7 linked regions of the Rattus norvegicus genome follow. The protein of the gene in region 2 interacts with the protein of the main gene of each other region in a biochemical or structural test. Links are inferred from orthologs where the notes say so. Each region holds a gene or a part of one and is shown on either strand. Other genes may lie near its edges.

Region 1 (4,230 bases), on a different chromosome or scaffold from region 2:
CATCAAACACTAAATTTAACCCAGACAACTGAAGTATTCTCATGCCTCTTCACTGGGCTGACCCCACTCACCCTTCTTCAGGTCACCTTGGCCTCTAAGAACTTTCCTTGATCTGCCCACGTCTTAGTCCAGTGTGGAGCCACTGATTACTTTTTTTTTTTTTTTTTTTTGTCTGTTTTAAGGATTTGTTTTACTTAGTTAGGTATGTGCAGGTATCCATATGTGTGTATGTGAGTGCAGGGACCCAAGGAAGTGCGAGGCATTGGACTCCCTGGTGCTATGCGACTATGGAATCAGCTCTGTCCTCCGTCTTTACTTCTAGGCTTCCTTAGCAAGTGCTTTTAGCAGGTAAGCCATATCGCCTGCCTCTTAACTGTGTTTTAAGAGTATCACCACATTAGACCTCAAAATTGAAGTGATCCTTCCGGCTCTGCTTCTGGAGTGCTGGGATTAGATGCTACTATACACCTATCTCCAGAAATCTCATCTTTTAGAAGCGTATGACTCCAGTGCACATGCACTCGCCCACAAGCATGCACACTACCACAAGCTGCCCTTTGATCTCTGTGCCTGGGCACACGCACACATGTGCACACACTCATTCTAAATAAATGTAAAAAAGAAACGTTTTTTTTAAATTTGTGGTTCTGAGTTGAACGTGGTTGCATATACCTGCAACCCCAGTGTTCCATAAGTAATAAGATCGCAAGTTCAAGGTCACCATGGGTTATAGAAGAGTTCAAGGCTAAACTGAGCTACACAGCCCCTCAAAACAAGCCCCAAATGTATGCTCTTAGTCTACCATCAAAATGAAAATGGATTGAAACTTGGGGGGATAGCTCAGCAGTATAGCATCTGTCTGTAAGACTGGTGGGTGGGCTGGAGAAATGTTTCAGATAAGAGCATGACTTCCAAAGATCCTCAGTTCAATTCCCAGCAACCACATGCTGGCTTACAACCATCTGTAATGAGATCTGATGCCCTCTTCTGGTGTGTTTGAAGACAGAAACAGTATACTCATACATAAAAAAATAAATACATTAAAAAAAAAAAAAAAAGACTGGTGGGCAAGGGGATATGGAATGAAAAGATACAAATACCACTAAGATTCAGTATTCTGACCAAATCGAGCTCCACTCAGAAACAGAATAGTCCATGAAAATGGGCACTGACCCAGCGCAATACATACCTGTCCCGTCTCATACTTTCCATTTTGTTTTGGCACCTCAAACACACCAACTGTCTCCAGCACTTTGCCCTCAGCACGGTTTCTGATCGGGAAGGAAAAGAAGATAGCAGTCCTCAGTTAGGCAAAGCCAAACAAACGAACAAAGCCCCTTAGCACACTGCAGGACCAGGGCAATGACAGCGGAGGATCAGGATGCTGCTTTTCCTCCTTTAAGATCCAGCCTTAGGCATCCGCTTGGTGACGGCTCTCCCAGTCTTCCAGGGTTTTGTGTAACTACTCCAGACTTACTTCCTCCGGTCTTTACTTAGCATTCCCAAGGTCGTGCACACTTTCACCCGCCCTCCTGGTTAACAGTGGGTTAACCATCCTTCCAACTTTGTATTTTAGCTACTGCCATGCATGCCTTGAGTCCATGAAAGACTCTGTTCTCTGAGAGAAATGCCTCGTGTGTAAGAGCATTCGTTCTGAGCAGAGCAGTTCTTCTGTTTCTCTTACCCACTGCTCCTTGACAGTGTATTCACTATGCCTGGCATTGGCTACTTTGACAAACTGTTCTGAACCAAACATGGTTCCACACATCTGTAATCCCAGGGCTCTTAAGGCTAAGGCTGGAAAATAAATAACAAGTTCTGGGCCAACCTGGCTACATAGCATGATTCTCCTAATTCTACACATTCACCTGTGCTGTAAACATGACCCCAGGACCTAGCATCTCTAGACTTCCAAAGGCACCTCACACAGCACTACACTTAGTACTTACTGCAGTCTCTCCACCCAGTGTCTTTTCACACTTACTTGTCTTAAATAGCCGATACCTCCCTCAACCACCATCAGGTCAGTTAACCTTTTAAATAGGATTGATTCTGCTATGGACCGTCAGAGCACTGCGATTTTATTTTGGAAATGTTAACTTCATACCCAACTTTTCAGTCCTGTCTGATCCCTACAAGGCTTTGTTTACACCACCACCCCCAAGCCTGGAACCCTATTTCCCAAGTCACATGGGCAAAATCAGTCTCCCCAAGGTCACATGGAAGTAGGACCCACAAAGGTAGGCACTTAAGTCGACTTGTTTCCCCCATAAAAGCATCTGAGAGCCACTGACCCAAAAGGGCCATTAAATGGCAGCCCACTACTGGTGCTGAGGACTCCAGCCAGGATGGCAGGATTCCCTTAAGAAGAGTTACTTGTTCTCCCTCGGAGCTTCCCTGCACTGCCAGGGTCCTGGGCAGTGCTCCCTTCTTGCTCTTGGCACATGTCCCAAGCAGCGCATGTCGGCTCCATGCTCCGCACCCTTTCTCAGGTGACACTCCGGTTGCCCAGAGTCAGGCCTCCTGGCTTCCTTAGCGGCTAGATAGGAAATGCTCCCTAGAGTCTGGGCCCGGTTCCCTGTCCCCCTTTCCGTCCCTCACCGGGACGACAGATGCCTTCGTGCCGTCGCTGTGGCCACCGGCGGAAGGGCCCCTGCTCCACCGACCGCACACAGTGGCCTCGACCCTCGGGTCGTGGCCAGTGACCGAGACCACCAGCGGCTGCCCACTGCTAGGGCCCGTCGGGCCACACAGCCAGCCATGTCCCGCCCGAGCGCCCGCTCGGCTGCTGACACAGGGCCCGACCCGCGGCGGGGCGCCGTCCCGCCCCCGCCCCACACTGCCCCGCGCCTAAGCCCCTCCCTCGCCCTCGGGTCCGCCCCCCGCGGCCGCGTGTGCTCCTCCAGCTACATCCGGCGCTGGTGGGCGGAAGTCCGAGTTTGGGATCACCTGATCAGAGCGTGAGCCAGAAATGGCGTCCTCCTTGCTTGCTGGCGAACGACTCGTTCGCGCTTTGGATCCTGGCGGAGAACTGGAACGGGAGCAGCTGCCCCGAAAGCTGCGTGCCCAGCTCGAGGCTGCTCTGGGGAAGAAACACGCGGGCAGTGATAACGCCACGGGCCCCCGGCGCCTGGTTTCCTTCCGTCTGATCCGAGATCTGCATCAGCACCTGAGAGAAAGAAGTGAGCGGTCCCCAATCAAGAGTCGCCGCCTTATTTTCAGATCTAATCCCCTCTGAGTCGTTCTTCTTTTTTTTCCTATCACTCTCGAATGCCTACTGAGTTCTCATTTATCCACTCCAAAAGCCTTCTCATAAACCCTGGGTTTAGGACTCCATTTTAACTTCCGTGAAAATTCTTCGTGTATGACAAAACGTATTTTCAGAATTTGTTGAGTCCTTTTTTAGGTCCACCTAAGTCCATGTGACTTTTTAGGAACTCGAGAGTCTAGCCCAGTACTATCTGCCAGGTTGAGTTTCTCCATTTTGAGGCCATGTATCTATAGTGAACTTATCCTGTTTGGGAAAAATGATTTTTCCTTCCATCTCAAAGGCAAAGGGAGAGAATACAAGGCCCCCAGTTTAGGGGTGAGGGTAGGGAAACGGTAACAACAACAACAAAACTATTGAAAGATTGAAAGATCTGAACTGGAGAGTTGCATCTAGTTCTAGACATTTTAAAGAGGTCATTTCTCCTCTTCAGACCTATTTATCTGTCAAGGTAGGGAATAGGATAAACTAGCATGTAACATGTTTTGCCAGAATTGACATATCCTGGCCAGAAGTGCAAAAGGTAGATGATCAACTATTCAGACTTAAGAGAACCTTAGAGAAAGATCCTCTAATACAGTGTCCTCTGAGTCATTAGCATCACAACTCAATCCTGTCTCTGTCTAGGATGGATTTATTATTTTCACAGAAATAACTTACCATTGGTAGGGTAATTGAAAACTGACTGTTAAAGTGAAACCGTGTGGCACTAAAAATATACTTAGGTGGAATTGCCCTAGATTTTTCTTAGTTGAAAATTATCTTGAGTAAAATGAAAAATAAATGAATAAACACAAGGAGAGAAAGAAAATGATCACAAGGCTGGGCATGGCATATGCCTGAAATCCTAGCATTTGAGGGGCTGAGGCAGTAAGATTGTGAATTTTGGTCTAGATGAGGTACATGAGAATTCAAGAGATAGGCAGGTGTATCTTAATGAGTTTAAGGTTAGACTGATCATA
Region 2 (3,500 bases):
CTGCCTACTGTGCACTCAAAAGACACACTGATGAGTTGAGAGCTATTTTTAAACCACATCAGCTATAAGCACTGTATAATTCTATAAAAGTGCAAACTGAAGGCAATGGACTCACTAAACACAAAATTCAATTTACAAGTGCTTACGTTTCAAAAGCATTTCTCTTACAATCTCTGAAACAACTCCATGTTTACACTAGTGACACACACAATACTGATTAATAATCATGTATACAAGATCAACTAGCTCTAAAATCTTCCTCTAGAGAGAATGGAGGAAGCTAACAGACCACTTAGTGGTCCGCAGATGGACCAGTGGCCTTTCCATGCTGCAGTCACTGTTAGTCACTCCTTAAGTACTTCCATTTTAAAAGAAACAACAAAAACCCAGAAGTCCAGGCAACATGCTAAAGGACAATCTCTGGTGAACAGTTGACAGGAGATCTACACTTTCTTTTCCATTATTCAGGTCATTTTCAGTTGTTCTCATAACTGACCCTTGCTTTAAGAATCCCCGTCCAAGTGAGTTACTCATTCAGCACTGCTCCTGCCATTGCGTGAGCCCGCCTTCTATGTGCACTACCCATCAGGCTCACATTGTCTCTCCCTGCCACTTCGAGCCCGCTGCCTCTCCCTAGTTCTCGGTCCAGGCTCGACTCAGGAAGTGAGGTGGACGGTTAAAGCCAACTCCGACCACATCTTCTCTGTGCTCGGCACCCCACACCTTCACACCAAGACCGGGTCCCTGCGACTCAGTAGAAATGACTTCTGAATGCCACAGAGAGGTACCAAGTTCACGCATGCCTCAATTCTCTTATCTACTCTTCCTCTGTTGTCCAAATAGCTGCTCTGCAAGCTGTGCACAGCTCACAGGTGTAAGTGTGCTCACTTCACTCTGTGCTCGCCCTCTCTACACACCCACCACCCACCTGACCAGACCGCCTTTGCCGGCTGCCGGCTTCACAGCACTTACCTTGATCTATCTGTTTGTTCAGTGACAATGAAAACAGTCTTTATCTACAGTAACTTTTCTACACTGTACTGTTTTATTGATTGTTTTGTAGTACTTGGTGTTGAACTCAGCATCACTCATGTTAGGCAAGCACTGACGTACATTGCCGGAGAAACATTAAAACAGTAATGTTTACTAGAGAGGAATACATTTTAAAAGCAAATAGTTGCCAGATGAGGCTGAGGCAGAGACATGGCAGTTCAAGCCCAGCCTGTGCCCATTATACCAAGACCCTACCTAAAAAAATCAGAAAGCGGATGGCTGATAGGAATATCAATTTGTGGAAAAGGAAAAAATGAAAAATGAGGATTCTAAAGGCAACTTAAAAACATACTCGAGATCCAAAGGCATTGAAATATTAATTAGGTCTAAGTTCACTTAACATGTGAATGTCATTCTCTATTTTTATTAGCATTGTTATTATGTTATAATAATATAATCTATAGTTGAGTTTGTTACATGTGAATAAAAGAAATACAACAGAATGAAAAAAGAATTTAGGGCTGGGGATTTAGCTCAGTGGTAGAGCGCTTACCTAGGAAGCCCAAGGCCCTGGGTTCGGTCCCCAGCTCCGAAAAAAAAGAACCCAAAAAAAAAAAAAAAAAAAAAAAAAAAAAAGGGAAAAAAAAAAAGAAAGAAAAAAGAATTTAAAGGGGAAGACTCAAGGTGGTGAGGGAGAGAAGAAATAGCGAGAGAATAAGTGGACTCATGAGCAGAAAGGAAAGGCTGCATAACCTCTCGGGAGTACACACTAAACAACACTACAACAACCCTAGGTCTTCACCTTCAGTCAGAAGAAAACACACCCTCCCACCCCAGAATGCTTTTAACTGACCTTAAAATTTGGAGAGAAGTATCGGTTGGCCTTGTCTTTGTTTGCTTTGTCAAGATCATTTTTTGTCAGGGTGAGCACAAGATACTCCTTGTCATTATCCGCACGCTCTATACTACAAATGCTATCGATTTCCTGATCACAAAGACTTCCATTTTCCACTTTTTCTGAGGTTTCCTCTGGTCCTGGTATGAAGAACGTATTTACCCAAAAGTGAAACATTTTGTCCTACAAAGAAAAGAAAGAAATGAAAGATGTATTTCACTTATTTAAAAATGTACCACAAATAGTCAACATATAAACCATATTCTAAAATGAAGGCAAACACCTTGTGGAATATTCTTATTCACTAAGTTATGTTATGAATAAAAAATAATCATGTAAACTCTGTTATCTTACTTTTATCTCTTTTATCTTTTCTTTTATTAGATATTTTCTTTATTTACATTTCAAATGTTATCCCCTTTCCTGGTTTCCCCTCAAGAAACCCCCTTTCCCATTCCCTCTCCCCCTGCTCCTAAGAGGGTGCTCTCCCACCCACCCACTCCTTCCTACCTCCCTGCTCTGGCATTCCCCTACACTGGGGCATCGAGCCTTCACAAGACCAAGGGCCTCCACTCCCACTGATGCCCAACAAGGCCATCCTCTGCTACATATGCAGCTGGAGACATGGGTCTGTCTATCTTTGGTTGGCGGTTTAGTCCCTGGGATCTCTGTGCGGGTCTGGATGGTTGATATTTTGTTCTTCCTATGGGGTTGCAACCCCTTCAGCTCCTTCATATCTCTAACTGCTCCATTGGGGAACCCTGCTTAGTCCAATGGTTGGCTGCAAGCATCCAGCTCTGTATTTGTCAGGCTCTGCCAGAGCCTCTCAGGAGACAGCTATATCAGGCCCCTGTCAGCATGCACTTCTTGGCACCTGCAATAGTGACTGGATTTGGTGACTGTATATGGGATGGATCCCAAATCCTAAGAAAACTATTTCCTATTCTAATACGGAATTTTAAAAATGTTCTGAGTTTATATGTATATAGATATAAACAAAGATCAGGTGTCATTACAACCAAAGCCCTAGAAACTAACAACCGAAGCCCTAGAAACTTTAGACTAAGTTCCCTATGACAACTTTAGTTTTGCCCAGATATGCCCAGTGCCCGTGGAAGCCAGAGAGGGATTCAGATCCCCCAAGACTGGTGTTACAGATAACTGTAAGGCAACATATAGGTGCTGAGAATCAAACCTGGGTCCTCTAGAAACCCCTATCCCATCCCCTCTCCCCCTGCTAGGAACCAGGGCTCCTAACTGCTGAGACGTGTATTCAGCCTTTTTAAAACCTTATTGATCTCAATTATTTTAATGTTGTTCAGTTGGCAATTGTATTTTACTTAGAGGAAAACAAGATAATATTATTTAAACTTACAAAATGTGGCTCACTGATGTGCACTGATTTTCTAAAACTGTTTTTATTTAAATCAGAACAGGCATGTAATTAGTAAGGAAAAGCTATAATAAATGGAAATTTATGGAATGTAATCTAAGATATATAAATATATTATAAGTATCCAATCTTCAGAGATCAGGAGTAAGAAACAGCACATCTCTAAAACTACAAGGAGACACTGAGGTAATTATCTATTTTTACAAACAATATAAAGCC
Region 3 (3,500 bases), on a different chromosome or scaffold from region 2:
GATCTTGGAGTCACAGGATTGGAATCTTATAATGACAGGATGAAGGGGGACTAGAGTCCCAATTCCGGAATCTTAAGTGTTTGGAGTTACAGAAAGGGGAAATGTCAGAATAGAGCGTCAGAACAGAATCCTGGGGTCAGATTGCATTCTTGTGACTCATGGCAGTCTCTATGGGTTAGAGCTGAAAGAATCTTGGGGCCATGATAGTCCACCCACAATGCACCATTTGCACCAGGACTGAGTTGAGCGGGAAGGACTGAGGCAGAGGAAAGAGCAGGGGCAAGAGTCCTGGACTGATCACGTCAGCCCAGTAAGGACTGAGGGAGCTGGAGACCCAGCAACGCTCTAAGTCAGCTCCAGGCTGAACTCTGTGTTGTGCCTTTCCTATGGGCTGGATTGTGTAACATACAGTGGAGACCGTGAGGAAATATGGGTACCACTCTGCACCCATACACAGGCTTACCCTCTGCCACAGCATGATGAGGATGATGAGAGAGATGACAGTAAGGACCACCAAGGCCAAGATGGCTGAGATCACCACCACTTTGAAAGGCAAGGCTGAGGACAAAGACCAGAGTAGGCCATAAGCAAACAGTATCTGGGTAGCTGCTTTCCCCATCTTGCTGGGAGCATCACAGATCCGTTGGACTTGCTCTGCTGAGCACGTGAGCTCTTACTGCCTAGATATCTGACCTCAGGGCCTACACTCTGGTCTTTCCTACAAGCCCAGGGCCCCTCAGTGACTCCCCTCAGATGACAGTCAGGCTCAGGCTGGCTTCTGCAACATCCAGCTAGGCTGGGGAACTCTCTTCTGGTTCCTGAGAATGACCTATGCCTCTCACAGCATTAGGCACTCTGGGGACCAGGCCACGACCCCCTCTTCTCTGAGTCCATGCCCTATTGGGCAGTCATTCCTGGGTCATAGATTTAAGAGCCATTCCTAACCAAATGGCTGAGGCACTCACCGAGTGACTCCCGAAGGAGCTGACTCTGAACTTCAGCAGCCTGAATAATCCACCACCAGAAGTCTGTTCCTCCCAGCCCCAGCCTGGGGACCACTAGTGTGTGTGGCACAGTCAGTATGCACCTCCCGGGGCCCTGAGGTGAACATGCAGGTCTCCCTGAGCCCTGAGTCCTCTCTAGCCCAAGACTTCAGCCTCACTGTTTACATCACCTCCCTAGTCAGCCTGGCTGAACCCCCATCCCCTGTCCTCTCCCACTTAGCAGGAGCTGTTGTGCTCTGGGAATTTGCTTCTTCCTGCCCTCCTCTGTTCCCCAGGGAGCCTTCCTCTGGCTTAGCCCCATCTTTTCCTTCTCAGGGTCACTGGCTGACATTTCTGTTCTCTCTTCCCTACATCCCTACATCCTGGTCTTACAAAGGAAGCCTGCACTCTCCAGAGACCCATCAGAGTCATCCTGGGTCTCCGTGTAATAGCTGGGTCTCCGTGTAATAGCACATGGCGTCCTGTGCAGGCGTCACACATGACTTTTCCTCTGCATTTACTCGGGCCCAGAGCTAGTCTACCTGTGTGCATAGATGAGAATATGGGGGAATAAGGGCACTTAATTTTTCTAACACCTAGACCGTAAGGACTATATGCTTGGCAGTGCAAGTGCAAAGAAATCTGCGATGCCTAAAGCAATGAACACATATCTTATATATTTTTGTGTGTATATATGTGAGCATTTGTATGACAGAATGCCACACATGTGGATGCTCACAGAGGTCAGAAGAAGGCTGTAGATCCACGGGATCTGGAGCTACAGGTGGTTGTGAGCTGCCTGATGTGGGTGCTGGGAACGGAACTCAGAGCCTCTGGAAGAGCAGCAAGTGCACTTAACCTCTGAGCCATCTCTGCAGTCCCAGTAAGGATGCTTTAAAAGCTCACCCTTCCTCTAAGGGCAGGTGACAGGCATGTACATAAGCAGACATGTACAAGCCTGCGGAAGCCTCTGTGTGTGTACACCTGCGTGGGTGTGTGCATGTCTCTGTTTTCAGGTATATGCGCAGTGTGCATGGGTCTGTGTTTGATTGTCTACGAAATACTCTTTGCAGCTGTATCCTGTATCCTGTATCTTGTAGCTGTATTCTGCATCCTGTAGCCCCATTCTTTACCACTTCCCTCCCTAATCCCTCCCCTACTCCAAATCCACATACAGTGTGCCCTGCATCCGGGCTCATTTGCTTCAACTCCTCAGAACCCACACAGAGCCTATGCTAGGCTTTTCCACAGCCCTCACGAGCTAGCTAATCCCCACTCATCTTTCAGCATTTGATATATTAGATCTGGCTGGTCTCATACGCACGGCTCACAAAAATATATTCTGCAGTTTCACATCCACGAACAGCACTGGGTATGCTTGAGTAGATGCTAACACGCATATACTCTGGAGACAAAGCCTCCTCGGCGCAGACGGCGTGCCCGTGAAGAGTGTACGCCTGACTCCCAGTATCAACCGGCTCATGCAAGTTTACAGCATGCATCTCGCGTGCCAGTTTCACTTTCTACACCTAAATGTCAATGTGTTTCGTGTTTGTGGTGTATAAAGTTGTGTTTGTGCACTTGTGTCAATGTCACATTTCGTGTGCGCACCTAGGAACCTACTCTGGTAGACTTTGTAACATTCTTCTGAGTATGCTGACTTGATCTGCTTTGGGAACTCGGACTCAGTGAGGTGGGATCAAGGAAGGGGTGAGAGCTCATCAGAGCCATCCGCAGCTAGGGCACTCACAGTGTGGTACCACGGTGACCTCTTGTGAATCTCTGCCCATCGAGTTCTGCAGCATACAGCGCACTGACAGTGGCTGGTCCACGTGACGCAGGCGCAGCGTGCTCACCACCTCATATTCCTGATCTTCCTCCCAGAAAGTCACGTTCGTTTCTAGCTGGCTCTCCTCCTTGGAACTATTCCCCAAGGGTGTGGGTGACAGTTTTCGCGGACACCTGCCAGGAGACACAAAAGGACTGGCTTGCAGACTCTCTTAGCTTCCTCTCTGCAAATGGTGGGGGAAAGTAAGACTGTGAATGGTGGTAGAAACGTTTGATTTCTTTGCTTGCTCTTTAAGCAGATTCCTACTGTGCTGCCTAGATGGGCCAGCAGGGGGCGCTCCCAGTCCAGAACTGAGACTCCTGAATGGCAAAATTCACTCATTTGACTCAAGGTTACTCAACGTGTTAAGGATAGAGAGGCAATCCCCGCATATCCACTGGGTGAACTAGACACCTCTGGGGGCCAGACCCTGCACCTTCCTAGGTTGAGGATGGCTCAGGATCAAGGTAAGAAAAGGAGAAATGTGGGTTAGGTATCTCCCGGAAGGCAGAGGAATGATCAAAGATGTGGCCTGGACCTCTCAGGTGAAGAGGCCGGTCTAGATTACCCTAAAGGAGCATTCTAGGCAGCTGCATATACTCTGGGAGGCCTGGCCTCAAGGTGTGCTCACCTTTTGAGGTCTCTGCAGGTAGACCAGGTGACATTTGGCTGAGGCATGCCCCGGCCCC
Region 4 (3,355 bases), on a different chromosome or scaffold from region 2:
TCCTTTTGACATTAAATTTGACAGCCTAACAAGAAAGTGCCCATAAACCTCATTTTGGTTACCACAGTCTGGTGTTTTTCACTAGTAATTTTGGCCTATCCTTAAGTTAAACAGTAATAATAGTTTAATTAATAAGTTTATTGGATCAGGCACTTTGGTCCACTTTGATTATTTGTATCTTATTTGGCTAAATGAGTAAAGAATTTACAGATCGTATTATGTCTTATAGTACCTACATGAAAAATTATTATGACACAAATCTCCCCTCCGTACATGAGCAGATATCTATAAGCATCTGCCTTTACAGAGATCAGTGTAAACGTGAATAAGCTATGTAACATACTCCTCGGGCTATGCGACCAGTAACATATTCAAATGGCTGTCAGTTCAAACTCACTATTCCTATTTATAGTCCTTGGATCTAACACTGTTCTACTCAATCACTTTTTAGGTGATTGGGATATTTATAGTCCTTCATCTTCCAATGTCATTTATGATGAACAGCCACCACCTCTCCCCTCTTCACATTCTGCTGCCACATTTGAAGAGTCTCATGTGCCAGTAACTGAAGACTCTCTGATTAGAGTTCAGACATGTGAAAAGGCAGAAGAATTAAAGGACACTGTACAAGAAAAGAAAAGCACTTTAAATGGAAGCCAGCCTGAGATGAAGTATCAGTCTGTCCAGAAAAATGTGAGTAAGAAGGATCCATCCAGAAGTCATGGGCATGGTGACAAGAATCTACCTAAAGGAGAAAATGGTGTTACACGGAGAGGTAGATCTGCTAGTCCCAAAAAGTCAGTTAATCGACATTCAGAGGAACATCTGGAAAAGATTCCCAGGCCCCTTAGAAGTGACCCCAAAGGAAAATCTAGAGACCGGTCACTCAGCCCTAGGAAAGGAGAAAATAAAGGTCAGGTCACCATTAAGGCGGGCTCTGGACAAGATCCCTGTAGAAAAGACAGAGGACGGTCTTCTAGCCCCAGGAAGCAGCAAAAGATTGGAGGCAACAGCCTGTCAAACACTGAAGGCAAATTATCAGAGGCTGGGAGCCGAAGAGCAGCAGGCCTCTCTAGTGACAGCCCTGAACAGCTCCCAGAGGGGAAAGAAAAGTCAGGGGTCAGCAGGAAAGATCTGAAGCTCAGTCAGCTGGGGAAAAACAGAACAAGGTCTCCAGAGAAAAGGAGCAGCAAAGTTGATGAAGCGTCTCTCCCATCCAAAAAGACTAGTGACACTGCTAGTAGGGTAGTGTCTGAAAAGGAGAAAGGAAGGAAGCCAGGCACAGGAGAAAGAAGTAGAGACAAAACAGGAGAAAGCGTCCAGACCTCAGCAAAGCCGCTCACGCAGGAAGCGGGAGAGAAGATGGCATTAAGCAAAGCATCAGAGGTCACTGACAGAGGCAAGGAGCGTGCAGGGGGCGCACCTGAGAGTAGCTCTCCAGTCAAGAAAGCACCCATCACTCCAGGACCCTGGAGGGTGCCACGTGCAAATAAAGTCACAGGCACTGCTGGCATGGCTGACAAACAGCTGTGACCTTTCGTATAAAACAAAGAAAAGTAAGTTGTAATCTTGACTAACACAGAATTCTTTGAAGGTGGAGAGTTGTGGTTTTCCCCCAGAAATTCTTCAATACCAGGTAGCCAGGCTGCATGAAGGGCTTCTGAGATTGCCAAGACCCACCTGGCCCTGGCTGGCTGCCCTTCCTCATGCTCAGGAAGGAGCTGCATCCAAGGGCTCACCTGCCATGCCCTGCACAGGCCGCTCGCTCAGCAGTGACATGATCTTAACAGTGTGGTCACAACTCACTTTGTGTTTGTGCCAAGTTATCTACTGTATCATGTCTGTTTTATCCTTCCCATTCTGATCAAACAGTTCAGTTTGGCTTGAAGATGTTTTCAGTAGCATGTTGCATGTTTACAGACGGGAATATGTGAGTCCTTGCAGAGGAAGAAATTGTTAGCTCATCATTAAAGTGGGCACTTGCCTCTTCTCACAGCTTCTGACCATCCTAGTTTAAAAATGCAATTCACAAACATCACATTACAGGAAAGGTCAAATATTAGAAATGCTTTTTTTACGGCTAAGTAAGGTGTTTAAAGTAACTGTTAAAGATACTCCTTACAGTTGAATGCTCAAACGAGAACGTACTGTAAGCAACAGAATTAACAACCTCCTGCCATGTTAGCCATCGCCTATGTAGTGACAGTGTCTCAGATCAGCGGTAGCCTTGGGGGAAGTACAAGAGCATGTAGAAGCACTGCTTGTTTCTCTTTAAAGAAAAGCTCTACTACATCTGGAGATTTTGAATATTAATCACTAGTCTTTAATATATTGTTGAAGACCCAAAATATCATAGATTTAGTGAGGGACTTGATCACGAGACCAGTTCTACAGTCCACGGCCAGAAAAAGCACCAGCCCTTGCCACGTAGGAGTCAGGAGGGGCAGGCATGCGAGCGTCAGCATTTAGAAGCAGAGCCTGTCTTGGGCTTCCTCCACAAGTCAGGACTAATATGGTATAGACTGTGTGTATTGAAACTTTAATTTTTAGCTAATTATTTAAAAACAAAGTTTTCAGAGTTCTTTTTAAAGTCTAATAAAAATGTTTGCTGAAAGTTGGAGACAGTTCTTAAACTCATACAATAGATCCAGACATCAGCTCCCTGACGCAGCATTCAGAAACATCTATAAATACAGACATTTCTCAGAACTGTCTATCTGTGGAGTATTTAAACACTAAACACTCATTCTGTTACCTTGTGAGTCTGACAAATTCCACTGTGACAACTGTACTGGCCCCTTATGACACATGCTTCCATCCAGAACTGTGTTGAACCCATCTCAAAACTACTTGAATAGCGCAAATTAGGAGGCTTGATACTAAGAATTTAGTACCACAGAAATGATTTATTTTCCCTATAGTTCACAATTAGTGATACAAATCCTATTTTTATTGTTAACCTGTGACATAACTTTGATGTCATGTTGTCAATATGATGTGGCTCTTCCTAAGTAACACGTCACTGTACTGATTATATACTGACTTAGCAATGTGGCCTTGGAGTGCTGAGCAGAATATGGATGTACTGGTTGTAAATGTTTATATCTGTACAGTACCTTTATATATACACTTGAGGTTCTGATTAGAGAAAGATCTGTAAATCGCTCGTTATTTTTTATATAGATATTAAAAAAGAAAGAAAAGTTTGTCTTGCTTTTTTTTTTTTTTTAACCGTCAGCACCATGTAGACTTGCAGTTTATGGAACCTTGTCCCACCGTCATCCCTGTCATCGAGGACTTACAATGGGAAAGACAAGGAAGTGTCTCTCCAGTACTAACATGGATAAAGCCTGTC
Region 5 (3,500 bases), on a different chromosome or scaffold from region 2:
CTGTTTTATTGCAAGTATTAGGAGTGAGTCCCAAGGGGTTGGGGGAGGGGGCTCCACTATTAACTACAAACATATGTGGAGCTGGAGAACTTTTAGGAAAAAAAAAAAAGCGAAAACATGAATTCCTTTCAGTCAGCAGGCCCAAGGCAGAACGGCTAAGGCCCTTGGCAGACCACCACGCATACTCCCTCTCTCACTCTTTTCTGTCTCTGTGTCTGTCTTGGCTGGCTGTGCCTATCTTTCTTTCTCTCTCTCTCTCTCTCTCTCTCTCTCTCTCTCTCTCTCTCTCCCTCTTTCTCTCTTTCTCTCTCTCGGTTTCTCTCTTCTCTGATCTTGCTATGACAGCCGCAGCACCCAGTGGACAAGACAAGGGTTCATGGGGTCGTGGGTTGGTTTCTGGGTGGTGTAATACCACCTTCCAGTCTGCTGAGGCTTGGGGAGCTCTGGAGAGGCCCAAGGTCCGTGCAGGAAGAGACCGTGGGACCCCTGGACAGGCAGAGAGGGGCTCAGAAGTTGCTGAAGATCTCTCGCTTCCGGTTCCAGTCCATCTGTGGTGCTCTCTTATTGACCCGAGTAGCTCGAGCCTTCTCCTTGGCCTCGGCTGCTGTGGGGCTCAGGTGGAGACCACTTTCCTGGAAGGGGTCTCTCTTCCAAGCACTGCCATCCTGGGGGCAGGCAAGGTACAAACAGTGAGCCTTACCCGTGGCAGCCACTTTCCCAAGGAACTAACACCAGTGGCCACCTCAGGGCCCGGACCACTAGCCCAAGAGGCTTCTTGGAAGTGGTAGCCCACCATCTTGGTAGGTATCTCCACAGAGACCCAATCTGAAGGCCTCCGAAGCCCCATGTGTGAGCAGAGTTACCTCATTGTCCTTCTCTGAGCCTGGCAGGTCGCTTCGGGAAGAGCACACGGAGCCACCATTGAGCTAGGAAACCAAGGGCAGGTTGTGGTTTCAGCATCCCCATCCTGGTGCACCCAGATCTTCACACGCGCACACACACACACACACAAAGCTGCAGCCAGTCCTTGTTCAGCAGTGAGCACACTTCTGTCACTGCCCGGGCTAGGGCACAGCTGGCACCTAACAGCCAAGTCCAACCTGAGCAGTCATGACATGGGAGAGCAGCTGTGGCCATGGGAGTCAGCTATGCGAATTCACCTGTTGTCAAACCAGGACTAGTACCCCAAGAAGGTAAAGATCACTCAGTAGTCATGTAGGAACAAGGCACGGAAAGACGGCCAGGTATCTGCCCACATTGTGCGTCTGAGCTGCTGCCAACCCCTATACAGACTCCACAGTGGCTGGGGTTTTTTTGGTTTTTGGTTTTTGGTTTTTTTGTTTTGTTTTGTTTTGTTTTTGAGACAGGGTTTCTCTGTGCAGTTCTGACTGCCTTAGAACTCACTCCGTAGACCAAGCTGGCCTTGAACTCACAGATCTGCCTGCTTTGGTTCCCAAGTGCCAGGATTAATGCCTGGCTAGCATGGGTGTGTATTTTTGAGGTAACCAAGCCAGATAGGTTTCACAACTGTGCAGAGATCTCCAGGAGAGGCAGCCTCTACCATGTCTAGGGACACGGGTAGAGGTATACCGATGGTCCCCTTGGGCACACCCTCTCACCTGGGCAAGGCTGGTCCCGTTCGTGACTGGTGATGGCAGTGGACCTGTGGGGACAGCAAGTTAGCGGCTGCACTGACTGACCCTACCCTCTGCCCCGAAGGCAGCATCCTACCTTCCACGTGATCCTCGGTGGGTACGACCCGCAACCGTTTGAAGTGTTCATCAGTCTCGGGGTCTACAACCAGCAACCGGGCCTCATCCTCCTGTGCCTTGATTCTGGCAACAACTTCGGCATGGCGCAGCCCCTCCACATTCTGCCCATTCACCTGCCGCCACCCACACAGGGTCAGAAAGGCCTGAGGGGCCCAGTCGGCCCAATGCCACCCAGCCAGGTGTGCCATCAAATATTCATCGAAGCCACCAGCAGCCAAAGCAGCTAGAAGAGTGCCAGCTCAAGTTCCCTGTGTCTTCCCTCCTCCTGCAGGGACCCAGGGCCATACATGGACACTCAGGGACATACAGATACAAACACAGGGACTCAGGGTACCTCAATGAGCCGGTCTTGGGCCCGGAGGCCAGAGAGAGAAGCAGGAGAGCCAGGGTCCACAGAGCGGATGTATTGGCCAGGCCGAGACTTGTCACTGTGCAGGTTGAATCCGTAGCCCTGGGGTCCCCTTCGTAAGTGGCAGAGCCGGGGACGCAGCTCTCTTGGGGGCCCATTGACATCCTGCAGAACCACAGAAAGTGACATCGGGCTCTATCCGCAGCCTCCCAACCCTCATGCTTTAAGGGACCAATCCCCAGATTTCATTGACAACGCTATGTGCCCTGTGACTGAGAGGTTTGGAGGAGTTACCTGTTACACAGCTTTAGCTGTGGGGTTAGGGACACAGCATGTCACCAAGCATGTAAACATCTAATGAGATAGCTGCTGGCAGGACCTATGGAAGAATCCATAGGGGGCACTGTGCACAGCTTGGGGATCTCGAAGGAACCAGAAGGGATAACTGCCCCATCCGAGGCTCAGGAAGCCTACCTTTAGGTTTTGCCTCCCCCTGTCTCCCTTCTGGCCCCCCTTCTCTAGAGCTAGTACCCTGGAGGCCTGAGCAGTCTCGTTTTCTCCTCATGGACTTCAAGAGGCTCCCTGGGTTACCGTGGCAGCTCTTTGCTTTAGAATTCCAGCACTAACTCCTGGAGTCACTGCCCCAACCCCATGGGCCCAGAAAGCACGGGCAGCCAAGTTAGCCTATGATGCTCCCTAACCCACAATATGGAAGGGCTCATGGTACCCACAGGGAATCCCCCGCCACTGCCCCAGGCTGCCCTTCTTTACCTCTGGCATCCTGCAGTAGGTCTCTGGGCCAGGAGGCTACGCAGGAAGGGGCCAGCCTGCTGACCTCCCACCCCAGCCAGGGGCCACGCCAGAGATGCTGCCTCTGAATGGTCAGCAGCTGCCGGTGCCTAGTTACACAGGGCCAGCGGCTGGGGTGGGCAGGCAGGTGGCAGCTCAGGTTTCTGGGTGTGAGTGCAGGTGACAATGTAGTAGCAGGGGGCATTGCCTCCCTTCCACTACTACTCTGCCCCCTCATGGCTGATGCTGAGGGACTCTGGAGAGGAAAGGCTGCTTCCGGTCTCAGGGCAGATCTCTAAGACTCAGGTAACTCCTTTCCCCCAAGCCTGAATACCTCTACACTCCTGCTGTCCACTACCACCACCCCTCTTTCGGTGTTTTGGAGAACCCAGGCTAGCCTCAAACTCCCAACTCAAAGTGATCTTTTGCTTCAGCTTCTGAGTGCTGGAATTATAGGCATAGACCACACGCTTAGCTCCAAAGCCTAAGTGTGGGTTGAGCCATGTCCACAGGCAGCAGCCAAATGCAGGAATAAGTACACTCTTCTATGCTGGACCACTCCTAGTTTTAGGGTTCTGGGATAGCCCTTT
Region 6 (4,298 bases), about 50 Mb from region 2:
AGGCCATGTCCCAGGTCAGGGAGAACATGACGGGCATGAAATGAGATACAAAGGGTTTGTGGCGGCCACCCTCCTCCTTGCTGAGGATATAAACCTAGAGGAGAGGAGCAATAAGGATGGAATGGCCTGGCCACAAGTCCTGCTTCTATGCAAGGGAAACTTGGCTCAGCCCTGCCAAACATCACTTGGAGCCCTCACCTGGGCCTCCACCTTCTGGTGGGGTTGGATGGATCCTGGCTTGACCATGACCAAACCACGCCTCAAATCCTCTCGCTTTAAGCCTCGGACCAGAGCACCAAGGTTATCCCCTGCCTCAGCCCTCTCCAGGCTCTTGTGGAACATCTCAATGCCTACAAGGAAGAAGACAGGAGAGAAAGTAGTCTCAGGTAGAATGAAGGTACAAGATCTACCTGGGAAAGGATCATTCTGACTGCGCCCTTGGATCTGAAATCATCTTATACCTGTCACCACAGTGCGAATGTTCTTGTTATGTCCCAGCAACTCACACTCATCTCCTTTCTTCAAAATGCCACGTTCTAGTGTACCTGTCACCACTGTGCCGCGGCCTGGAAAGAAACAGGACATGTTATTGGGGACCTAGGGTTAGATGGCCCCTATGGGGAGGGGTGTAAGTGAGCATGGGCCTCACCAGGAATAGAGTAAACTGACTCTACAGGGAGCAGAAAGGGCTTCTCCAGGTCCCGGGTGGGTACTGGGATGTAAGTGTCCACAGCATCCAGAAGCTTCTGCACTGACTTCACACCTAGCTCAGGATCACGTTGCTGTTGGAGAGAGAGAGAATAAGACCCTGAAACTTCTGCTCCTTTCACAGGATGCTAAGTCTCCAGGTACAGAGCAAAGCTCTACCCCATCCTCCACCAACAGGAGCATGCGCCTTCACCTCAAGAGCACAGAGGGCCGAGCCTACGATGACTGGGGTTTCCTCTCCTTTATAGCCAAACTCAGTGAGCAGCTCCCGGATCTCCAGCTCTACCAGCTCCACCATCTCCGAGTCCTGGACAGCATCTGCCTTGTTCACATACACCACAACATGCTCTACCCCAATCTGCAAGCGAGAGAAGAAACTGAGAAACTATCCTGAGTCATCTAACTTCTCACTTAATTTCCATCCCACTCAGACCCCAGTACCTGCTTAGCTAGCAGTAAGTGCTCTCGGGTCTGGGGCATGGGGCCATCATTAGCTGCCACCACCAGGATGCAGCCATCCAGAGGGGCGGTGCCTGTGATCATATTCTGAGTGGAAGAGGAAGAAGGTCAGCTTAGTTCAAGGACCTCTTCACCCGTGCATCACTAACTAGAGGTAGCTGTGAAGATCCCCATCTCTACCTCACCACCCACAGCCATGGCCACAAATCTTAGTTCTTGCGTCCAAACACCGCCACTATCTTATAACCTCCTCCCCTCAGACCGCCACTGACCGGAAGCAGGTTTTGGCTGTCCCCAGCAACCCTCACCTTAACATAATCTGCATGACCAGGGCAGTCTGTGTGGGCATAGTGTCGGGCAGCAGTGCTATACTCCACATGAGCTGCATTGATGGTGATACCCCGAGCTCGCTCCTCTGGGGCATTGTCTATCTCCTCGTACTTCTTGAACTTAGCTCCACCTCCCTCGGCTAGAACTACCGGAGGAAGAGAACACACCTCTAAACTCAGGTTCAGAGCTACAGACGAGGCTCGGGCACAAGCCTGGATCCCTCATACATAAACAATCTAGATGGATAAATCTAAAATCTCAAATTCTATTAGGAGAGATAACTTTGGAAGAGAGTGAGCAACAGAAAGAATTTTCCAGGGTGTCTGCCCATCAAAGACGCTTCAACTTCTTCACTGACAGCGTCTCCTTACAGAACACTCCACACAGGATAGAAACCATTCAAACTGTTGCAATTTGTGCCTCACAGAGCTCTTCTTGTACAGGGAAACCTGTCTCCTGCATCTTCCAAACCACCCCTCGTCGGAAGTGTCTTTTGGCGCCAGGCTAAACTTCAGCAGACTACAAGATACCCACCCTACTCCCTGGTTCTGGCCCTTCCAGCTGACGGGGCATTGCCGGTCGCCCCCAACCAAACCCAACACAACTCTACTCACTTTTCGTGATGGCTGCGGTCAGGGTGGTCTTGCCATGGTCCACATGCCCGATGGTACCCACATTCACATGGGGTTTGTCGCGTACGTAAGTCTTCTTGGCCTCCACTGCTAGGCCGCGACACAAGAAGGGCGATGCCGGGGCCTTCAGCGGCCGCAGCCGACCTTGCAGAAATGGGGTTGGGCTGGCGCAGAGACCTGAGAGGAAAAGAAGGCGCTTGGAATCAGGGAGTGGACCCGAACCCAGCTACCCTCCACGCCCCTCACGTCTCCAGGCTGCCTACGTCCAACCCGCCCCCTCACCGCTGAAACGGGGCGTCGCTCGTAATAGAGTCGCTGCCGCCATTGTGGTAGTACTCGGCGACCGGGACCGAGAACTAGGGACCCGGAGCCCGCGCGTGTAGGGAAGGACGGGCACTTGGAACAGCAGATCACTTCCGGCGGAAATGAGGGTCGGGACAGCGACTTTGGGAGCCTCTAGCAGAAAGTTTCTATGGCCACGGCCACTTATATCCGGGCATGGAGCGGAAAAGGAGGTTTCTGGTGTCTCGCGGGGGATGATGGAGAATTTTCACAGTTCAACCTGAGGGGCCACTTTAGGAGGAAAATGCGGAGCGCCCCACAATGCACGAGCGCTCCCGAAGGCTTATGGGTGTTGTAGTTTTCAGGGCAGCGGGCTTAGGGTTAGTTTGCTATAGGCATTAGCTCCGGCTGAGTTCGGTCCATAGGTTAAGTTCTCCCAGCCTGTGAGAGGCAAAATTAACTAGAGTCAGGGATAGAGTCCAGGGAGTTCCAGTCCTTGACCATTAAATACAGTCCCCATATCTCTTGCAGGAATCCTGTGCTTTCTAAGGTTCCTAAGTTAAACTCTCCCCTCCAATAGTTCTTTGGCCGCTTGAGAAACAGGGTCCCCCCCCCCCTTTTTTTTTCTTTCTTCCTTCTTCTCTCCTTCCTTCCGTGACAGAGTCTCACTACATATCCTTGGCTGCCTTGGAACTCTCTATGTAGACCAGGCTGGCCTCCCAATTCTAGAAAGATCTCCTGTCTCAGTGCTAGGATTAAAGGTGTGCACAGCCTGGCCCAGAGAAATTTTCTTAGTGGTAATTACTCCCGCCTTATTTTGTTCATGTGACATTGAGGAAGTGGACGAGCTTTGGAAGTTTCTAATAATCCGAGTCTTTTGTCTCCACAGCGGAGCGCGTGGTGGATACCCAGCAAATGTGTAGTAGTGACTTTTAACTGTCACGTTCATCTCTTCCCACCGCTTCTTCAACTCTCACGAATTGGTAAGAGAAGCTACTTAACTCCGACTTTCTTTCTGAAACTTACCCTATCAAAGCTTAGTTGACAGCGTTTGTTCTAAATGCTGTAGATTCCCCAATTCCATCCCTAGAGAAATGTCTAAGCACAAACAAGTTACATTACATCTCCTCTAAAAATCAAATGGATCGAGATACAGGTACACACTTATGATCTCAGCACTTTAGACACGGCGGCAGGAAATCCAGTCCTAAGTCCTGAGCACAGACTGAAACTCTGAAAAGGCAAAGATAAAAGGACAATGAAGTGTTACTAGAATCCTGTGCTAGACTCCTCTCAGTCTTGGTGATCTTTTTATCTAAGGAGTCCAGATGAGGGGCTGAAGAGACAGCTCAGCAGTTAGGAGAGATGGCTGCCCTTGCAGGGGACCTGGGTTCAGTTCTCAGCACCTACGTGGCAGCTTATAACCACCTGTAACTCCAGTTCCCAGAGAATCTGGCACCTTCTTCTGGCTGGCTGTAGACTCTAGACATGCACACAGTGCACTTAAGTACACGCAGACAAAACACTCATACCCATAAAGTAAACATTTAAAAATTTTCAGAAGAGACCTGCAAAGTGTGATTATGGAATGGAGTTCATTCGCACAGTGAAGTGGAGCATTTCAAGAGGTGAGAGTGGACAATGTCCAATTTGTAAGTCTCACATCAGTGCTTCCAGAGGTCATTAGTCTTGTGTGTTCTGATCAGATGAGGTTAATCCTTTGATGGATTTTGTGGGTCTAATCCTCCATTTCTTGCTGAGATTTCATCTTGCAGCAAGATACCATTTAACTTTTCTGTAGCTGGACTTTGGCTACCTTCTAGGTTCTTCTTTCTTCCACCCTTCTCCACCCTCTTTTTCACCCCTTCAATTCCCTAACACTAGATA
Region 7 (4,128 bases), on a different chromosome or scaffold from region 2:
GCTCGCCAGCCTGAAAGGCAGTCGCTTCCGCACACCGACCAACGGCCCACGCCTTCAGCCCCAAAGCCCGGCTTCTCAGTCCGTGCCTTCCCTAACACCGCCCCGGGAGGAAAGACCCCGAACCAAGCCGCACGCGCCTGCGCAAACCTCCGCTCCGCGCTCTCCGCTCCTCCGCTCCCGCGCCTTCCTCCCGCCCCGTTCCCCAGGCACCTAGGTACGTCACAATGAGTGGCGTGTAAGTCGAACAATCACAGTTGCTGCCCTCGAGAGCACTCGGGGAAAGAGGAGGGCGGGGCGAAGGGAGGGACCGAAGGAGCCGGCTTCCAGGACTGGCTCGTTCTCGTCACCCAATCAGAACGGTCTGGGGCGCAGAGGGGCGGGGCCTGAGAAGAGGGCGGGGGTGGGGCTGAGGGAAAGGAGCGTGAAGGCTGCGGGACGAGAGGGCGGGCTCCCGGAGATTAAAAGCAGCCAATCAGAGCGCGCCGGCTTCATTCGGAGAGCGGCGTGGGGCGTCGCCGCCGCCGCGCGCGCCGGGGGCTGGTTAAGGCCATGAAACAAAAGAAACCCTGAGAGGGGAGCCGCTGCCGTCCCCACCCACCCACCTAGTTACCTACCTCGGCTCTGTCCCCAGCCCCTCCACCCCGCCCTCGCGCGCTCCGGCGGCCCTGGCGCTCCTCAGCCCAGGGCGCGGGCGCCGCCGCCGCCGCCTCCCCCGAGGAAAGGTGTTTGCGCGCTGAGCAGGGCCCGGGCCCTGTCCGCCATGGGGCTCGCCGCCCGCCGCGCCTGACGCGCCTGCCGCCGCCGCCGCCATTGACAGCGCGCCGCCGCGATGCCGAGCGGCAGCTCCGCGGCCCTGGCCCTGGCGGCGGCCCCGGCCCCCCTGCCGCAGCCGCCTCCGCTGCCGCCGCCCGCGGGAGGCCCCGAGCTCGAGGGGGACGGGCTGCTGCTGAGGGAACGCCTGGCCGCGCTAGGCCTCGACGACCCCAGCCCGGCGGAGCCCGGCGCCCCGGCGCTCAGGGCCGCGGCGGCGGCGGCGCAGTGCCAGGCCCGGCGGGCGGCCGGGCTGGCTCCGGAGGAGCCCGGCCGCCTCGCGACCTCCGAGACGGCGGAGCTGGAGCTGGAGGTGGACGAAGAGGAGGGGGAGGAAGCGGAGCTGGACGGAGAACTGCTGGAGGAGGAGGAGCTGGAGGAGGCTGAGGAGGAGGACCGGCCGTCGCTGCTGCTGCTGTCGCCGCCCGCGGCCACCGCCTCCCAGACCCAGCCGATCCCGGGCGGGCCCCTGGGGTCGGTGCTGCTGCCGGCCGCGGGTTTCGATGCCCGGGAGGCGGCGGCCGCGGCGGCGGGGGTGCTGTACGGAGGGGACGATGCCCAGGGCATGATGGCGGCGATGCTGTCCCACGCCTACGGCCCCGGCGGCGGCGGGGCCGCCGCTGCCGCCCTGAACGGAGAGCAAGCGGCCCTGCTGAGAAGGAAGAGCGTCAACACCACCGAGTGCGTCCCGGTGCCCAGTTCCGAACATGTCGCTGAGATTGTCGGACGCCAGGGTGAGTGCGCCGAGGTCTGTCTGGGCACGGCCCTGGGCGTGGGTGGGAGACGAAAAAGACGAGCGTGCGGCGGAAGAGAGAACCCGGAGAGTCCCCCAAGTCCACCGAGAAGGGGTCTGGGAAGAACCGAGGGTCTCCGAGAACGGGACGGGTCACCTTGCGAAAACCCACGCCGTTCTGCTTCTTCAGGCGGACAAGAAGTGTTAAGTTTCTTGGGTCACCCAGTCTGGTAGTGTTCACTGTAATCGGTGTATTCGTGGAACCCCGGGCTGGCGCGGCCCCAGAAACCTCAGTAAGGTGGTAAGGTCAGGTCAGAAGTTGTGGGTTACAGGATTGTTTCCGAAAGCTTCGAGATTGGAAGTTTGTGTCGCCGAGTGGCCTGTAAAAGCAATCAGCCAGCCTTAGAAGTGCTTGTGCTGATGAGAAATGGACCGACATGGAGGCATGTGCAAAGCTAATTCGGAAGGGAAGAGAGGCCTATCACTACCTCCCTGTTATTCAGAAACTTGGCTTTAGACGAGCACCCCAACTCTGTTGATCTTGGGTTCTCAGCGGACACATCTCTCTTAAAAGGCGATAGTGTCCGTCTTTTAGAACACTTTAGCTTGTACCATGAAGGGAAAACTGGGCATTTAGGTAGTTACGGAACTTTATGCATTTGTGCAGTTCTCCATAAATTTTCTTCACTTGTTAGCACACCCGTTCTGCAGACAGACTCCTCCCACATTGTTCAGACAAAGGATCTATGTCTCAGATTCCAGGAGTAGGTTTGTGAAGGTGGGGGAAGGGGATGCACAGAGTACCTCGGTATCCGACCTTTTTAGGGAAGGTTCTGTATGCCTCGGTGTAGTTTTTGCCCCTTTTTGCTACCTGCTGCTACTGCCGTAATACAACATGGTTGATACATACCTCTTGTTGAGGTCAAAGAGAGATGATGGCACTGCTGGTGGAATGAGCTCATTTTCCCAAGTGGTCTAAAGTACGAAAATACGAGATTGGTGACTTCGCATGTAAGAGGTGGCTCTCCTTGCAGGAGTTTGATAAGAAAAATCTTATTTGGAACCTGGACAGAAAAAAAAAAATAGCTTGTTTCAGACTGCTTGACTAATCAGTTTCACATGTCTCACTTGCCAGTGGTTGCTGATCAGGATAACAGATCATGAGGAAACTCTTTTATGTACATGAAATAAAAATGCATTTTATTTATAGATTCAGAATGAGGTGGCTTTTCATTTAATATCATTGAAAGAGTGCTTGATTTTGCTGGATAATGAGTTTATGAAAAGTAAGTAAGCTAAAAATTTGAGGTTGATTTATACAGAATTTCTGCTCTTTATTAAAAACTAACCAGTTAATAAAATGGCACACAAGTAGTTAACTATATAAAGGCAAACAGTCCCACACACAAGAACATGACCCATAGAGAATGCAGCTTTGCAAACAAAGATGCAATATTGAACAACATGAGGAAAGTGTGGAGGAGGTCCTGCTAGGTGGTGATTGGAAAATCACCCAAATGTCATTAGTGATTAGAATCTGGTAAACTGGGGGATGGAAATGACCTGAGAAGTGATTGTTGAGGCTGTGGAATGTAGAGATTTGAATGGCATGCTGGGAAAACAACATAACTTACTTCAGTGTTCATGTGCTTGACTGCTGAAGCAAAGGAAAAGATCGTTTGCTTGCTAGTTTTACCACATGACAGGTAGTATATCTTGGTAGATTTACTTTAACATGAACTTTTGTCCCTTACATTCTAAAGCACCTCAACTGTAAATTGGCAGTATTTATATACATTGAAGTGGCAAGCTTTTATTTTGTGCCATTGTGTGATGAATGTCTTAGTGTTTCTTCTTGGGCTGTTCTTACTGGTTAATAAGGAAGTGTGAATGCATGTCTTAGAGCATGGAGACAAGTTGCTAGCTGTCGTTGTACTTACTCTTTCCTAGAGCTGCCAGACTGTTAAAGCTCGTCACCTTCCTCTATCTTATCTTAAGGCAGAAAGTCTTGCCCTTTTCCTGTTTGGAGCCTTTCAACTAGTGGATCATTGACCCCTTTGCCATCCCCACACCCCAGCAGCATGGTAATAAACCTGTATTTGCTAACTTACAGAGAGCTAAGTGGCTTCTAATAGTCACAGTCTTTTACTGTGCAAAAACTTCTTGTTGAAAGTACCTGTCCTAAGTAAGTTTTAGAAAGTGAGTTGGGGGACAGGGCAGGGAGGTAGATCATTTTGAGTTTTTGTTTGTTTTGGAGGAGCTAAATGTTCATCCTTAAGAATTAACCATTCCTGCCTTCTCATTCATTACCTGAAGTCCTAATTCTCTATTTGACATCTCTCAATTAGTTTTGGAAATAATTATGTCACAGATGGAGGCATTCATGACTTCAGCTCTGAAGCAAAGAGTATAGGGTAACTGGAATTCTGAGTCACGCATGCAGTTCAGCAAAGCCCTTGGAGATAGCCTCTGGTTCCCTTGTCTTTCAAAAACAACATTGCTCTTACTTTGTTTTTGTCAGTGAGACAGGTTTCCATCATGTAGCCTGGCTGCTGGGCTCACAAACATGTACCTCTCTACCTGAC

Evidence for each region.
Region 1: the proteins of Pten (region 2) and Poldip2 form a complex in vitro, tested with the Homo sapiens proteins (2 studies listed by BioGRID). The link is inferred for Rattus norvegicus from reciprocal best matches to the Homo sapiens genes PTEN and POLDIP2.
Region 3: the proteins of Pten (region 2) and Pdgfrb form a complex in vitro, tested with the Homo sapiens proteins (2 studies listed by BioGRID and IntAct, with this or other methods). The link is inferred for Rattus norvegicus from reciprocal best matches to the Homo sapiens genes PTEN and PDGFRB.
Region 4: the proteins of Pten (region 2) and Magi3 form a complex in vitro, tested with the Homo sapiens proteins (2 studies listed by BioGRID and IntAct, with this or other methods). The link is inferred for Rattus norvegicus from reciprocal best matches to the Homo sapiens genes PTEN and MAGI3.
Region 5: the proteins of Pten (region 2) and Nherf2 form a complex in vitro, tested with the Homo sapiens proteins (2 studies listed by BioGRID and IntAct, with this or other methods). The link is inferred for Rattus norvegicus from reciprocal best matches to the Homo sapiens genes PTEN and NHERF2.
Region 6: the proteins of Pten (region 2) and Tufm form a complex in vitro, tested with the Homo sapiens proteins (2 studies listed by BioGRID). The link is inferred for Rattus norvegicus from reciprocal best matches to the Homo sapiens genes PTEN and TUFM.
Region 7: of the proteins of Pten (region 2) and Mex3c, one has a biochemical effect on the other in vitro, tested with the Homo sapiens proteins (2 studies listed by BioGRID). The link is inferred for Rattus norvegicus from reciprocal best matches to the Homo sapiens genes PTEN and MEX3C.

The regions. Positions count from the first base shown.
Region 1 is NC_086028.1:63,903,857-63,908,086, reverse strand, and holds the start of Poldip2 (polymerase delta-interacting protein 2), read right to left. Parts: upstream 2,801-4,230; 5' UTR 2,763-2,800; coding exon 2,602-2,762; intron 1,272-2,601; coding exon 1,190-1,271; intron 1-1,189. Other genes in the region: Tmem199 (transmembrane protein 199), read left to right, coding at 2,972-3,182. UniProt on the Homo sapiens protein: Involved in DNA damage tolerance by regulating translesion synthesis (TLS) of templates carrying DNA damage lesions such as 8oxoG and abasic sites.
Region 2 is NC_086019.1:240,106,207-240,109,706, reverse strand, and holds part of Pten (phosphatidylinositol 3,4,5-trisphosphate 3-phosphatase and dual-specificity protein phosphatase PTEN), read right to left. Parts: intron 2,072-3,500; coding exon 1,847-2,071; intron 1-1,846. UniProt on the Homo sapiens protein: Dual-specificity protein phosphatase, dephosphorylating tyrosine-, serine- and threonine-phosphorylated proteins.
Region 3 is NC_086036.1:56,794,348-56,797,847, reverse strand, and holds part of Pdgfrb (platelet-derived growth factor receptor beta precursor), read right to left. Parts: coding exon 3,443-3,500; intron 2,946-3,442; coding exon 2,734-2,945; intron 559-2,733; coding exon 464-558; intron 1-463. UniProt on the Homo sapiens protein: Tyrosine-protein kinase that acts as a cell-surface receptor for homodimeric PDGFB and PDGFD and for heterodimers formed by PDGFA and PDGFB, and plays an essential role in the regulation of embryonic development, cell proliferation, survival, differentiation, chemotaxis and migration.
Region 4 is NC_086020.1:194,206,438-194,209,792, reverse strand, and holds the end of Magi3 (membrane-associated guanylate kinase, WW and PDZ domain-containing protein 3), read left to right. Parts: intron 1-451; coding exon 452-1,533; 3' UTR 1,534-2,855; downstream 2,856-3,355.
Region 5 is NC_086028.1:14,167,520-14,171,019, forward strand, and holds part of Nherf2 (Na(+)/H(+) exchange regulatory cofactor NHE-RF2), read right to left. Parts: exon of another isoform or gene 2,902-3,500; coding exon of another isoform or gene 2,893-2,901; intron 2,287-2,892; coding exon 2,107-2,286; intron 1,886-2,106; coding exon 1,732-1,885; intron 1,664-1,731; coding exon 1,620-1,663; intron 927-1,619; coding exon 864-926; intron 666-863; coding exon 507-665; 3' UTR 1-506.
Region 6 is NC_086019.1:190,502,875-190,507,172, reverse strand, and holds the start of Tufm (elongation factor Tu, mitochondrial precursor), read right to left. Parts: upstream 2,801-4,298; 5' UTR 2,455-2,800; coding exon 2,412-2,454; intron 2,307-2,411; coding exon 2,112-2,306; intron 1,643-2,111; coding exon 1,476-1,642; intron 1,255-1,475; coding exon 1,150-1,254; intron 1,067-1,149; coding exon 902-1,066; intron 783-901; coding exon 650-782; intron 567-649; coding exon 462-566; intron 351-461; coding exon 199-350; intron 95-198; coding exon 1-94. UniProt on the Homo sapiens protein: GTP hydrolase that promotes the GTP-dependent binding of aminoacyl-tRNA to the A-site of ribosomes during protein biosynthesis. Also plays a role in the regulation of autophagy and innate immunity.
Region 7 is NC_086036.1:69,441,522-69,445,649, forward strand, and holds the start of Mex3c (RNA-binding E3 ubiquitin-protein ligase MEX3C), read left to right. Parts: upstream 1-1,328; 5' UTR 1,329-1,375; coding exon 1,376-1,544; intron 1,545-4,128. UniProt on the Homo sapiens protein: E3 ubiquitin ligase responsible for the post-transcriptional regulation of common HLA-A allotypes. Binds to the 3' UTR of HLA-A2 mRNA, and regulates its levels by promoting mRNA decay.